Ovis aries: one gene and its partner. The protein of the gene in region 2 purifies or fractionates together with the protein of the main gene of each other region. This does not show direct contact. Links are inferred from orthologs where the notes say so. Each region holds a gene or a part of one and is shown on either strand. Other genes may lie near its edges. The genes, in order: CUL5 and SPSB4.

Region 1 (2,823 bases), on a different chromosome or scaffold from region 2:
GACAGATTCCATGAAATGCTGTTAAAAGCACTCTGCAATAATAATACTGTATGCTGTTCAACACTGGCACTTCATTTTCTACTATCATCAAAATCATTTAAAATATTACTTAATGTCAAATAAAATATAATTTGCAAGAAAAGTTTTGAAATGGGCACCACAATGAATAAAATCCATGTTGAGCCATTCTTTCCCAGTGGGGAATAAGTTTTCCTTTTTTAAGTTGTTCATGTCTTCAAGTCCTAAAATCTCCATTACTCTGGGTATTCAGTTGCCAGCAACTAAAAAGTTGCTACTTTGGATTGACTGAAAGAAAGAAGTTTAAGTGTTGGTTCTGAACATTATTTAAATGCTTACTTTCAAAATATATAAATATATATATATACATATTATTTGGCAAGTTTATTGTTCATATTAAGATTGCAACAATTCTGCTTATGCTTTTCAGGTCTATGTTGTGGTTTTTCTTTACCTCGTAGGTGACTGATAATTATTACTTTTTAAAACAGAATATCTTCCTTTCCAGAAACCTGAGGCTACAAATCCCTAATAATGAGACTTTAAAACTTCAAAGTATTTCTATGCTACAGATTAAGAGGTCAGTTATATAATTGTATTATATTAAAGCAGGAGATTTCTGCCTTATTTTTTAATGAATTTGAGTGTAGCATAATAAATATTAGGTATATAATATTAAGTGTCTTAGTAAACACTTAATATGCGAGTTTTGCTATTTTTGACTCTGAAGTTGAAATGATCTATCTCCATACATTTTTTTAAACAACTAAAATAATAATATGAGCTTCACTTTTTCAAAACAAACTCTCTGGCCATATAAGATTAGAAAAAAAAAAAAAAAACCACTCCATTTAACAATGAACAACTAAAACAGTAGTCTCCTGCTTAACGAAAGCCAACATTTCTTAGTTGGAAAAATTTACTATCACTTTGAAGTCCCCACTAAAATCCAGTTGTTATACTGAAGCAGTGTTTGAACATATGATAATACTAAATACTTATCTGTTCATCTATATCTGCCCTGTCCCAATGTTGTGTAGACCAGCTCACTCTTTTGATCAAAAGAAATCAAGAGTGCTATTTCTAGTTTTAATTGAATTTAAAAACAAAAACAAAACATAACAGCATTTTTCAGTGCACAAACATCTGAAGATCCTTCCTTGTGCAAATACATTTTTCTAAGACAGGAGAAAAAAAAGGAAAAAAAAGGCAACAAGAACCCCACTTTCACCCTCCCAACTGTTATTTCTTCTGGTGGGTATAAACCAGGATTTTAAAAGCTCATAATGGGCTCTTTGTGAATGCAAGTTTCTCACAAAACAGCATGCTGTTAAAACAGAGTGGTGCAACATGAAAGGAATGCCACCATGCTAACTAATGTGATTGGCAAAATATAGTTGTTTTGTTAGGTAAGGCAGAGATTTTAATATTTATGTAATCGAAGTCCAACTAAACCTTCCCCTAGCACAAACTGTAAGAACTTTCTGCCGAAGCACTCCAAAATTTGGGTTCTTAATATTGTCCATGATATTCAAAATTACGCCATATATATGAAAGTGTTGATATCAGATTCATCTCTTCTGATGTATTTGTGCTCTATTAGCCATTCTATTTGCTCTTTAATCATTTTCTTTTGTGGCAGGAACATGTTTTTCAAAATTTCTACTAATTCAGTCTGCAGCTGAGCATTACTAATTTTCTTTCTCATCTTCATTATTTGTATGATAGCTTCCTAAAAGAAAAAATAAAAATAAAGTATTAAATTATTTTAAGTAAAACAAAACGAAAAATGACTTTTAATGTTTTTTATCCTCTATCCAACATCTATCCAAATGATTAGCAATCACTGGATTAACCTTGAGACCTGTAACAAACAAAAGTATCTTCTTTTCACTGTGGAAAACAAAATCTGCATATTATGGATATTCTGAAAAATAAAGAAAAGCAAAATTACTCATATCCCTTTTTACATACTTTTCCCCTTGTATTTACAGTTATTTCTTTGCATAGTAGTAGCAGTCAGTTGCTTTAGTTGCTCTGTTTTAAAAATTAACAATCACTACTCTTTATATACTTATCAGATTAATGAGCTGTACTTATTATCAAGTACCTTCAGTTTATAATGACTCGACTAAATGGTTCAACTTTCTGGAGGAGTAAGCACTTTTCATTTAAGTCAATTTTATTAATAATTTCCTTGATGATTTAATTACTATTAATCTATATAATATAGATAATTAGAAAATTACTAAATATTTTCTCTTTTGTCTTTTCCAGTACAAGGTCTCTTCTTAGTCAACAAAAGGCATTCATCTGCCTTACTGGAGATTAAAATTCATTATAAAAGAAGTTTAAAACAGAAATGTGTTAATATTTGCTTTTAAACACTAAAAAACAGAGATTTGCTACAAGGCAATAGGCTTGGGAGTCAGGCAGTATTCAGTATGAGAAAAGTATACCATCAACTTCCTCTGCACAGACATGAGAATTCCTACACTGCCACGAGCAGGTCAGAAGAATTACTCCTAACAGTATGTCCAAATCCACACTCTGGATCACAGGGTTTATGTCAAGGGTTCAGGGAGAAAGAAGGAAGAGGGAAAAAGTCTGTCTTCCTTCAGGCACTTGTACTTTACAGAAACCAGTAAGGCGGAAAGAACAATTGTAAATATTCTAATTTCTCTTATTCTAGCTTTGGTAGAGGTGAAAATGATGGCTGTGTTAGAGCTGTTAAGAGAAAAACAGAGATCACAAGAGTTCTGGCCCTGGTCTCATTTAATATGTTGGAGGTCACTTGAAAAGTGG
Region 2 (3,919 bases):
TGGTGTCTTGTGTCTCAAACATCTTTCTATCAAGCTACCAACACAGTGTCTTTCTACAAACTCCATTAATCAGCAGCACTCTTTGAAAAATGGAGTTGTGGAGGATGAAGAAGGATCCCCCATCAGTCTCAGTGACAGAGACTGCAGAATTGGGTTGGAGGAGACGGGCATCAAGGGGGAAAGAGAGGGAGAGGCGGGAGAGATGTATTGCACAGGCGCTTCTTCCTTAGGTGCAACGACCGCCTGGAGGGGGGAGGGGCGGGCAGCTCCCGTATTCTCCTTTTAACAGCGTTTCCCCCAAGCTCAGGCACGTCTTCCTGATTTATGCTCATCGATTGCTGGAGGACGGAAGGTGGATGGAGGATGGAGGCTCTGATTCCTAGAGAGGAGAGAACTCCTTCAACCCCTAAACTCCCCCAGGAGGAGGCTGGAGCAGAGGAGGAAACTAAGCTGGGAAAGATTCGAGTACTTGTCCAAGGTCACACTGCGGGCTGATGGTGGAGGCGGAATTCGAACTCAAGCCTTATTCCAGAGCGCTCTCCATCTCCTAGCGCTACGGCCCACAAGTGCCCTCCTCTCTCTGCCAGTCCGGAAAAGCCCATGCTCCTCCATCCCGGAGGCGGGAGTGGTCACTCCCCACCCCACTCTCCCCTCAAGCCCTCTTCTCCCTCCAGGAAGAGGTCCTGGGCTCGGCGTCCCCTCCTGGCTCCGAGCCCGTGGCGCGTCTTGCGCTACCAGGGCGGACACATTTGCCGCGCTCCAGGCTCTGGCCTCCTCCCTTCTTCCCAGACCCCACCCCCCTCCCCTGCCCGTGACTCACTCTGCACGCGACCCCCTCCCTTCCAAAGCATCGCCAAGTTTGTCTTCAAGCAAGGCCAGGAACTGGCCCCAAGCAGCGCTCGGACTGGGCGACCAGCCTCACTATCCAGCGTCAAGAGTAAACAGTAACAACAGCCCCCATTTCAGCACCCACTGCGTGCCAGGCGCTTCACTTCCAGGCGCTGAACTGCCCCCGCCCCCCAACCCCTACGAACAGACTCCTGGAAATTACTGTCCCCAATACATCGACGAAAGAACTGCTGCAGCTCCGGAAAGTTGGATGACACGCTTGGGATCACACAGCTAATAATAATGCTGGCTAACGTTTGATCGAGTGGTTCTTATGTGTCAGGAACAGGTCTACGTACATTACGAGGACCACCCCATAGATGCTTCTAAGAGCCCTATTAAAAGGGTACCATTATCACCCCCATTCTACGGATGAAGAAATCAAGGTTCGGCGCCTTGTCCAAGGTCACTCATTCAGTGAATGACAGATCATGGACCTAAACCCAGGCAGGGTGACTCGGGCGGGGGCGGGGGGGTAGTTTTTTGTGCTGTCTCCATTACGCAGAAAAGCAGCGGGCTTCGAACCGATGACACCAGGGGCCAGCCCCAAACGCCCAAAGGCAAACCAGCCAGCTCGGATTGCCACAGTCCGCAGAGAGGAATTCCCGGGGATCTGGACCGGACGCACGCCAGGAGCGCGGACTGTGGCCAGTGCCGGCCCGCACGAGGTCCGCTCGGCCAGACCTCGGCTCCCGCGCGCCTCTCACCAGAAGATGGAGAATACTCACCATAAAAGAGAGGGCAAGCGCCTGCCCTGGAGGAATCGCCAGCGCTGGCAGGTCCTGGACTCCGAGGAGAGACGTCTGCGGCCGCTGCCACCCGCTCAGGGGCGCCCGAGCGACCCCGAAGATGCCGGCTTGTTCCCCGGGGCCAGGGGCGCGTCCTCACGGCTAGAGCCCCGCAGCAGCGCCCCCTCTGCCCAGCAGGGTGGCCCAGAGTTGGAGCGTTCTTGGGGAAGTTGGCGCTCCAGCGCGGCGAGAGGGCGCAGGAGGTCGGGTGGGAGAGGGGAAGCGTCTTTCTGCGCGGATCCCGGGGGCGCGCCAAGGCCTGCGCTCCAGCGGTTCCTAAGCTCCGCGCTGGACCTGGAGGGCGGCGAGCCCCGAGCTCAAGGCGCACGGGCCGCGCCTCTGCCGCCCGCCCCTGGAGCGCCCGGCGTCTTCCCCCTCGCCCTGGGCGCACGCATTGGTGTTCGAAACTGGGGCCCGGGTCTGGGCTACGGTGCGCTCATCGCCCTCCCCAAGGGGCTGGGCGTCTTTGTGCACGGGGCGCGCCGGCCGCCGCGGCCAGCTCTGGATGCTGCAGCCGCCGCCGCCTCCCCCTCCTCCTCCGCCGCCGCCCGCTCCCCGCCTTCCCGGCCGGCCCAGAGGCTGCAGCTGAAAGCCGATCCGGCTGAGCTCATCCCTGAAGGCCACTAATCCAATAGCCGCGGAAGGCGCGGCCGCCGGGAACGCCCCTTCCCCCACCATCCCGCGCCCCGGCCCGTCCCAGCTCGGGCCGCTGCCGGCGCCGCCACCTTTCCGAGGCCACCAGCTGGCGGGAGAGGGAAGTGGAGCCCGCGGCCGCGTGCCGAGTCGGCGCGGTCGCCATTCACTCGCCCGCTAGCCCGCGCACTCCCTCACTCACGCACTCATTCATGCGCTCCCCCCCCCACCCCCATTCATTCAAGCGCGCTGGGAGCGCCAGGGTGGGTGCCCCTGAGCCGGAGGAGATACACACAGTCATTCGACAGCTTTGCTGTCTTTACCCAACTCGTGTGGGAAATAGCGCCGGGGAAAGAGCTTGGTTTAATGACCTCTTCCTCAGGAGCGTGTCTACACTTTATTTTTTAAAGATCAGATTCCAGCTCATCTTCTAAAGTCCAATTTCATACCTCTCCTGCTTCTCGGAGCCTTCCCCCGACCACTCGAGGAGCAAAGAGGTGTTTTTAGTCTGCCTGCTGCCAGGACTGGAGGTGGGCCGCCCGATTGCCCGTCTCGAGCGGAGGAAGAGGGAGTGGCCAGAGCGGAGGCCAAGAGGGTGCTTGTAGCATCTGTGCTCTCTCTGGAAAATTGACAGTTACTGGTCTGGGTGCCTTTTGTGCTCCCAGAGGTGAGCTTAGTTCATTCCACAGTGATCTGGTCTGACCTCAGCCCTCTCTATGCCGGATACTAAACGGCCTACGGGCAGAGCGCCGGTTCATCTGGGACACAGACAAGTAAAAGGTAACTCAACCTAGGGAAACAGATGGCAGCTTTGTCTGGGAAGGGCAATCTGGAAATGCTTCCTAATAGAGGTGGCTACATGAATTAGCCATGGAGACAGAAGGACAGGGTGGTCATCTGTCTAGGTACCTATCACAGCATGGAGCCTCCGGTATATACGGGAGTGTAAGGCGGCTTCCCTGGTGGCTCAGAGGGTAAAGCATCTGCCTGCGACGCGGAACACCCGGGTTCGATTCCTGGGTCGGGAAGATCCCCTGGAGAAGGAAATGGCAATCCACTTCGGCACTCTTGCCAGGAAAATCCCATGGATGGAAGAGCCTGATAGGCTACAGTCCATGGGGTCACAAAGAGTCGGACACGACTGAGTGACTTCACTTTCACTTTCAAACGATGAGGTAAGATGTGGCTGGAGGGATGGACAGTGGCTAGGTTCTTGGAAGTCAACTAGAGTTTGATCGTTCCTCAAGATTAGTTGAGGCCTTTAATCAAAGTAATGCTTATCATATTTACATTGTCCAAAGATCTCTAAGCGGAGTGAATGGATGGAGGCAAGCAAGCTTGGAACTCCTGATACAGTCCAAGCAAAAGAGGATGCTTCACAAACCAGTTTAGCCATTGGTCGGACAGCCGAAGGGGGTATTGATCAAGTATTTATTTGCACTTATCCTACTGTTCTGTCATTGCCTGTTTGTACGTGTCTCCCTCCTAAAGCTGTGAACCCCTTCAAAGGGCAAGAATGCTTTTTATACGTGTCTGAATTCTCTATACCCACCTAGAACAGATGTTGAATAAATGTACTTTGAATTGACCTGAGTGGCATTCTGACCTGC

What was found.
Region 1: the proteins of SPSB4 (region 2) and CUL5 purify together in Homo sapiens (co-immunoprecipitation; 4 studies listed by BioGRID and IntAct, counting the BioPlex papers as one, with this or other methods). This does not show direct contact. The link is inferred for Ovis aries from reciprocal best matches to the Homo sapiens genes SPSB4 and CUL5.

The regions. Positions count from the first base shown.
Region 1 is NC_056068.1:17,395,550-17,398,372, reverse strand, and holds part of CUL5 (cullin-5), read right to left. Parts: intron 1,751-2,823; coding exon 1,556-1,750; 3' UTR 1-1,555. UniProt on the Homo sapiens protein: Core component of multiple cullin-5-RING E3 ubiquitin-protein ligase complexes (ECS complexes, also named CRL5 complexes), which mediate the ubiquitination and subsequent proteasomal degradation of target proteins.
Region 2 is NC_056054.1:248,507,857-248,511,775, forward strand, and holds the start of SPSB4 (SPRY domain-containing SOCS box protein 4), read right to left. Parts: upstream 2,239-3,919; 5' UTR 1,617-2,238; intron 1-1,616. UniProt on the Homo sapiens protein: Substrate recognition component of a SCF-like ECS (Elongin BC-CUL2/5-SOCS-box protein) E3 ubiquitin-protein ligase complex which mediates the ubiquitination and subsequent proteasomal degradation of target proteins.